Ovis aries: one gene and its partner. The protein of the gene in region 1 purifies or fractionates together with the protein of each later gene. This does not show direct contact. Links are inferred from orthologs where the notes say so. Each region holds a gene or a part of one and is shown in the gene's direction. Other genes may lie near its edges.

The links.
Region 2: the proteins of ATP11C (region 1) and TMEM30A purify together in Homo sapiens (co-immunoprecipitation; 4 studies listed by BioGRID and IntAct, with this or other methods). This does not show direct contact. The link is inferred for Ovis aries from reciprocal best matches to the Homo sapiens genes ATP11C and TMEM30A.

The regions. Positions count from the first base shown.
Region 1 is NC_056080.1:95,503,302-95,507,594, forward strand, and holds the start of ATP11C (phospholipid-transporting ATPase IG), read left to right. Parts: upstream 1-1,212; 5' UTR 1,213-1,357; coding exon 1,358-1,384; intron 1,385-4,293. UniProt on the Homo sapiens protein: Catalytic component of a P4-ATPase flippase complex which catalyzes the hydrolysis of ATP coupled to the transport of aminophospholipids, phosphatidylserines (PS) and phosphatidylethanolamines (PE), from the outer to the inner leaflet of the plasma membrane.
Region 2 is NC_056061.1:2,071,383-2,075,193, reverse strand, and holds part of TMEM30A (cell cycle control protein 50A), read left to right. Parts: intron 1-2,298; coding exon 2,299-2,406; intron 2,407-3,811. UniProt on the Homo sapiens protein: Accessory component of a P4-ATPase flippase complex which catalyzes the hydrolysis of ATP coupled to the transport of aminophospholipids from the outer to the inner leaflet of various membranes and ensures the maintenance of asymmetric distribution of phospholipids.

The DNA.
Region 1 (4,293 bases):
TGTAATGTTTAAAGTTTCGCAAACTCCAATTCTAAACTAGGAGCCGAGAGGGTAGAGCGTTTCCTGGCGAACAATTTTTCGCGTCCCAGGGAAGGTTCCAGGCATTCGTGGCTTTGCCTCGCAGATCCTTTTCACATTTCCCACCGCGGGGAATCTAAGGAGCGCTAGTGGCCTCCACTTCCAGCCCGAGCCGAGAACCGCGGTTCAGCCCTGAGATCTCAGCCGCTTCCTCCTTCAACCCTCTGGGCAAACCCAGAGCGGGCGAGTGGGGGAGCTCCCAGCCCGCGGTACTAGGCGGGGGCATGGCGGGACTACAACTCCCAGGCTGCTGTGCGAGAAGCAAAGGGGCGGGGGCGGGAGGGACGGGCTTGGGGTATAGGCGGGAGGGGTAGTTGGGGGTGGCAGGGAAATCCCGCCCCGCTGCGCAGCAGCGGCGACACAAAGCCTGACTTTACAACCTCAGAGAGAAAGTGGAAGTGAGATGGTTTAGATGGGGAGACAGGATGAGAAAAAACCTGAGGAGGGAAAGGCGCGTAGGTAGCTGAGCGAAGCGAGGGTAGTGGGGAGATCCGCGCCTCGGCACACGAGGAGGGGGCCTCTTATAACTAGTCCCCCGGCCCGCGCTCCGCCTGCGCTGGGGTCTCCACAGCGCCCCGCCGGTCCCGGCTCCTCACGCAAAGCCCGGCTCCGCCCCGCGGGGAGCGGGGAGCCCGGTTGCCTGGCGGGTTCGGGGCGGGCCGGCAGGCTGCACCGTGGCTCCCCGGCCCGAGTGCGGGACGGCCGGCGCAGCTGCCGCGGACCAAGGAGGGGCTGTGAGCGAAGCGGAGCGGCGGACGTATTAGGGCCGGGGCAGGGTAGGCTGCGGCTCCCGCACGAGCCGGGGAGTAGTGTCGAGGTGAGGCGCGGGGCGCCTCGGGAGGGTCCCCCGTGGCCGCGAGCGGGGCGGGCGCACGCGGGCTGACCGCGGAGAAGCAGGCGGTGGCTCCGCGGCAGGGTAGAGTGTAGACAGCGGGGTGCCGAACCCGCCGCTGGTGGAGAGCTCTGGGCGTCCCCCTCCCGCAGGAGGAGCCTAGCACTCCTCCGCCATCCCTCCCCCGCGCTTTCGGCTCGCTATCTCCGCGGGCTGCTGCGGGAGAGGCGGGGCCGCCGCCCCCGGCGCGGGGCGGGGCGGGGCGGTGAGTGAGGTGGGGCGGGGGCCGAGGGGGGCGGGGGGAGTTCGGAGGGCCGGCGGTTGGCGGGGCCGCGAGCCTCGCCGACCGTTTCGCGCCGCCGGCCCACGCCGCAGTGTCGTGTGTGAACGGCACCTTCTCAGACAGCCCAGTAGAGTCCAGCTCGGCGCCCGGCAGCCTTCGACGCGATGTTCCGCCGGAGCTTTAATCGTTTTGTAAGTACACTCGCTTCGGCTCCCCGCGTGTCGGTTCGCTTGCTCGCCAGCCCCTTCGCCCGGTCCCTCAGAACAGTTTCCTGAGGGGAAGACTGCGTCTCTGGGAGACACCAGCAGCGCCCGCTCTTACATTTTCACGGAAACGACGCTGCCCGGGGCGGTCGGGGTGGGGAGTCAGATAGGGCTCTCGGAGCACCCCGCCACTCCACCCCGACCCCGGCCCATTTATCCGGAGCTTCCCTGGGCTGTTCCTTACAAACTGCCGCGGACGGCGCGGGGGCGCCCTCCGAGCTGGATGGTGGGGGACCCCCCGGGGGGGACCGACCCAAGGGTCCCTCGGTGTGCCAGTTACTCGAAGATGGCGTTTTATTATCAGGGAGGTTGCTTTCTTTTGTTTCCTCTGCCATGAGCACATGGAGGTAAACCTAGACCTGTCACCGTGGTCCAAAAAAGCCCTGGGGGCTGAGGGGTGGGAGGCTGGGGCCGGGCTCAGCCGGCTGCTCACCCGAGGCCGCGCAAACTTTGGAGACCCAGCCTGAGCCTCTCACCTTGAGGGTTTAATAAAAGCGAGGGCGATCGTCGGGGTGGGCTGAGTCGAGGTGGAAACGCGAGGAGGCGGCACCGCCGCTACCAAGCGAGCGCCGGGGCTGAAGCCTCGCCGAGCACCGAACGGCCCAGACCTTGACCCGGGGGAGGAGGTGAGCTGCGGCTGGACGCCTCCGTCCACGTCGACTCCCCCTCCCCGATCCCCAGAAAAGGGAATTTTATTGCCGAGGAGTTTGGCACCCGGAAAACCGATTACTGACTTTCTTGAGTAACCTGTTCACTCCTAGAGTGTACGTGAAGAATGGAGTGAAACCGGGACCATCTACTTCTATGCTGCTATTAGTAGCAACTTCCTTAATTGCAAGATGAGGTGGCGGGAATAGGATTTTATTTCTGCCAGTAATGTGAAAGGAAGGATTCGTCAGTAAATGTGGATTTTTCTGGCCTTAGGAGAAATGGTTGAGTGCTGTGCGCGCCTACCAACCCCCCTTACAAGATCTGTTTAAGAACTTGTCGGTTTGGCTGTTTTCCTGCGATTATTCGTAATCGAAGCATTGCTAGCATTTTTCACGCTTTGGATGAATTTGCTCTCATTTTTTCTGCATTTGAAATTTTCACAAATGTACCCTGGCTAAACGAAGTAATTGTACGTCCCCTTCTAGGCTATTATTATCACAAGAGTGCTGTTAATGTTTTTCTAAAGGTTTACCTCACCAGAAGCATGTCTTATGAAATTGGAGCAGGTTTACCTGTGGCACAGCAATAGAGGTTGTTCCTATCAGGATTTTGAAATCCGTAGGAATTGGCTTGTACTGTATGTTTTGCTAAAGCAAGTGACTAAAATTGGTTTCTCACATTTAGTCTGAGAAGGTAAAAGAGCATTGTGCTTCATAGTTCTATTTCATGCAGATTCTTGTGATCCTGAGTGTTGTTTGGGGGTGTTAGAAAAGGAAAGGTGACAAAGAGGACTAATTGTAATATTTGGGAAGAGGATAATCTTTTCACATGGCATTCTTATACTGGAAAACAACTGGACTGTGGTTCGTAATATATTCGTTAGCTCAACATTGAGATGATGACTCCCCCCCCTTTTTTAAGGATTTAAAGATTTGAAACCAAACAACCAGTCTAAAAGTATCAGTCTAAAAGCCCCCTTCATCTTTCTTTTGCTCAGAGTGGTCTGCGTTGTTTGAGTCTAGTAAGGAAGCAGTGCTGGCCGGGGAAGGCAGGGCATGCAGTAGAATTTGCAGCAGTTGTTGAGGTGCCAGCCTGCAGGTTTTGAGGCTAGTACCTTGCATCCCCGTCCAAGATCTCTGCGGAGAATATGCTCACACTGAAAGGAGCTTTGACCTCATTGTTTCTGCTGGAATACTGGACTGCTCGCATTTTCCTGAGCAACCATGACTCTGGTTAAGTCTCCAGAATTTCTACCAGTGCAGTGAACTGAAAGCTTCTCAGGAGTTGTATCTGAGCCCTAGGCCTAGGGCAAGGAATTAATCTGCAAACCCTTGGACGGAATGTGAAATATACTATCAAATACTTACTGCTAAAGAATGACTTCGAAATAGTTGTGGGGGGGGGGGCGGTTTTTAGCTCCCGTAGTCAGTAAGCAAAATGCTGTCCTCATCTTTTCCTTGGTAGAGACTGAGTGGCACTCCCATTTACATCACTAGAAGGATACAACTAAAGATTTAGGTTCGTCCTTCACTTTTCACTTCCATGCATTGGAGAGAGAAATGGCAACCCACTCTAGTGTTTTTGCCTGGAGAATCCCAGGGACTGGAGAGCCTGGTGGGCTGCCGTCTATGGGGTCGCACAGAGTTGGACACGACTGAAGTGACTTAGTTTAGCTTGCCTTGCACAGTAATATAGATGTAGTCTAAGTTGTGTGCTTTTATATTTTGGAGATGGGGCTATGAATTCCTTTCAGAATTAAGTGTTTTTCTTGTGTACCCGTGTACATCTGAAATTTACTTTGAATGTAATATAAATTCCAGTGATGTTGATTGTAGTTCTTGGTCACAAAACTAGATACTACATGTTAGGAAAGGGCTTTACATTTTAAGGGCTTCCCTTGTGGTTCAGCTGGTAAAGAATTGGCCCGCAGTGCAGGAGACCTGGGTTCAATCCCTGGGTTGGGAAGATTCCCTGGAGAAGGGAAAGGCTACCCAGTATTCTGGCCTGGAGAATTCCATAGACTGTATAGTCCATGGGGTTGCAAAGAGTCAGACACGACTGAGCGACTTTCAGTTAGATTTTAAACCTAACATGGGAAGTAGTATCATCTTTTACAGCTCAGTAGAGAAGGCAATGGCAACCCACTCCAGTACTCTTGCCTGGAAAATCCCATGGATGGAGGAGCC
Region 2 (3,811 bases), on another chromosome or scaffold:
TTGCTCAAACTTGGAAACAACCAAGATGTCCTCTGTGGTACACCAAGAAAATGGAATAATCTTTGATGCTAAAAAGAAATGTGCTATCAAGTCATGGAAAGACAGAAATCTTAAATGCGTATTACTAAGTGAACGAGATAAATCCAAAAAGGCTACATGCTATATGATTTCAAATTATGTGCCATTCTGGAAGAGGCAAAACCATGGAGACAGTAAAAAGATCCATGGTTGTCAGGGGTTAGGGGTGAGGGAAGAATGAATAGGTAGAGTGCAGAGAGTTTTTAAGGTATGAAACTATTCAGTATGATAATGTGATGGTGTATTTATGTCATTACACACTTGTCAAAACCCATGGAATGTGCAACACCAGGAGTGAGTCTTAAGGTGAACCATTGCCTTTGGGTGATGATGTAACGTTACAGGGTCATCATTTGTAACAAGTACGTTTCTCTGGTGAGGGATATTGATAATCAGGGAGATTGTGTCTGTGTAGGTCCAGGGAGTATATGGGAACTCTGTAGTTTGCATTCAGTTTTGCTGTGAACTTCAAACCACTCTAGAAAATAAAATCTATTTTAAAAAATTCATGTAATGGAAAAAACTTTTCTCATTTTAGCTGTTAGGTCAGGTCTTCTGACATCTGCTGGTGTATTGCAATTCAGTTGTGACACTAACCACCTGCCTTTGTGTCAGAGTCCACAGGTGTAAGGGCTTGGTCTCCAGCAATACATCTGAGTGCCAGTCAGGCACCAGCTGCAAGTCAGGCTCCAGGACAACCCATACTTACGGCCAACTGGCTACAAATAAGGGAGTTCTGAGGCCTCCCCCAGACCGCCCTCACTTCACAGGCCAGGTGCAAGTTCAGACGTCTCCAGGCCACCTGAACTTCTCACCAACTGCTTATAAATGTGGGAGGTTACTGTAACTTCTCTCAGGTTTCCCAAGATGCTGGAACGACTCAGAACTCAGGGAAGTGCTAGACTTACACTTTTATTTAAAATTGTATTAATCAGGATCAGCTAAACAGACATTTGGTGAGGTCCTGAATGTAGAGCTTCGTGCACTCCTCTTCCCTCAGAATCGGGGCTTGTGGATGGGCTAACCAACTCAAAACTCACCTGCGCTTTGGTGGCCAGTGTTTTTATTGGGATTCCAGGAGAAGGCAGTGGCAACTCACTCCAGTACTCTTGCCTGGAAAATCCCATGGATGGAGGAGCCTTGTGGGCTGCAGTCCACGGGGTCGCTGAGGGTCGGATACGACTGAGCGACTTCACTTTCACTTTTCACTTTCGTGCATTGGAAAAGGAAATGGCAGTCCACTCCAGTACTCTTGCTGGGAGAGTCCCAGGGACGGGGGAGCCTGGTGGGCTGCCATCTATGGGGTCGCACACAGTCAGACACGACTGAAGTGTGTGTCTACTACTTAGCAGCTGTAGCAGTATGATGAAGACAGGATTGATTAAACACTGGTGGTTCAGTTGGTAAAGAATCTGCCTGCAGTGCAGGAAACCCGGGTTCGATTCCTGGGTCAGGAAGATCCTCTGGAGAAGGGAATGGCAACCCACTCCAATTCTTGCCGGAGAATTCCATGGACAAAGGAGTCTGATGGGCTACAGTCCATAGGATTGCAAAGAGTTAACACGACTGAGCGACTAAGACATGATTCAACTAAACCTCCAGCCTTCTCCCTCTTTGCAGAGTTTGAACTGGGCCAAAGTCCCAAGTCACATCTGGTCTTTCTGATGACTGGCCCCCTGCCTGTCCCATTGTCTTAGCACAAACTCATGTGAATTAAGGGGCTTATCAAAAACAGACTCTAATCAGCAGGGAAATTTTAAAGGATTTAGAGGCTCCTACCAGGAACCCAAGACAGAGATAAAACAGATTCTTAATTATCCAACACCAGGTTTTAAAAATGGTAGCCCTTGAGAAACCTGATAGTATTTTGTTTGCTTTATTTAATTTGAAGATATGCCATGGAAAGCTGAGATGACAGAAAAGTTGTTTAGACTTTATAGCTATTTAAAAGTTAATACATCATACAGTTTGAATTTTATATTTATGATTTTGTGCATAAATGTGTTTCTTTGTGAAAAAGGAGAGATGAGCCAGTAGGATTACATAGGATCCTTTCCAGTTTTTACAGGCTCACACTGTCTAATAGATGACCTTATAAAAAGATTTTTTTCTGGCCTGTGGTTGCTCTCTCAGACTCATTTTTCTATCTGATAGCAGATTATTTCAGAGTGTATTCACTTTCTCCAAGGAAATATACTTAGTTATGTTTTTCTCTTGCAGATTGATTATACCGGAACAGATCCTTCCAGTCCCTGCTATAAATGTTTGTCTCCGAATGTTACACCTTGTATTTGTACCATTAACTTCACACTGGACCAGTCATTTGAGGTCTGTATTCTAAGTAATGTCTTGGAAAACCCATGCTTTAAAAAATATTGATATTAATTATTTTTTACTAGTTATTTTCTTGTTGAGATGTCGCTTTAATTTATTGAGAGTCAGTACACTTTTGAGGAAGATTATTTTGTTTAGTTAGCGAATTATGCTGTCTGATAATTAAATGCATTAATAGTTTATTCTAATTGGTACTTAATAAGCAAAATTTGAAACCTATTTCTGGAAAATTTTATAACTGTACAAATCACTTTTGTATCAAGATTCTATCTACATATGTTTGTATTTAAAAAATTATTGCTCAAACTGTGTTGACTGCTTTTAATACCAACAGTTTTTACTTTAGAAAATAAATACTAATTCACACAGTTAATTGCATCATTTTTTAATCAGATCTGATGCTTTAACCTTTAACATAAGTGCAAACACTTAGTAAAACCTTACTGACGAGCAGTTAGAAAACTCTCCACAAAGTATGCAATGTGTGCGTGTGTGTGTGTGCGCGCGCGTGTGTGTGTGTGTGTGTACGCGCGCGCGTGCGTGGTCTGTGTGCTTTTTGCATTCACACTTGGCTGTCATTCTTGGAAACTGAGCCAGATGGTGAAGGACACACAGATTCAGACTAGTCATGGCTAGACCAATTTATGCTCTCCTTTACCTGGAAATTGAACTTTTAAAATGTACTGTTTTATTCTTCAGGGAGCAAAACTACTTTAATACAGGCCAATTTTTTGAACTTTTGTAGCTATGCTTTAGATTTTTTTAAAGGTACTGATGACTTTTGAAGTCCCTGGTAGATGGTTGCCATCTAGTGGTTATGGATGCTCTTGCACTGAGATAATGGACAATAAAGCTCCCTTTTTAAAAATTATAAAAATAAATTAGGGAGAAGACAGGAATTTAATTATTTTGTTTTAGCAGAAATAGCATAAATGTAAAACATCAGAAAAGTTTGATTTTTTTTAATGTGATGGACAAACTATAAAAATGCATTAAGTTCTGCTTTTGTCAAAACAGGCAGAATGAAAGACATGGATGAGACTTGTAATGATTTGGAAGCTCTATTAGTTTCCTCTCCCATTCGGAAACACTTAGGGTTTCAGAACTTTTCTTCCGTGAAGGTGATTGTCCTCAGATTCATTTTTTTTGTGGGTTCTGTGTTCTTTCACAAGCCCAAATTTGAATTGGACTAAAACCTTTTCAGAGAACAGAAATCAGCCAACAAAATAAATGAATAAATAAATAAAAGGTTTCTATGTAAATGGTTTCTTTATATAGACTGAAAAAATTTGCATACTTGACATTCAGAAATCAAGCCTTGAATAAATGATTGTGTATTTGAAAACAGCAAATCAGATAAAGCAAAATATTATTGAAATCCTTTTTCTTTTCTGAATTC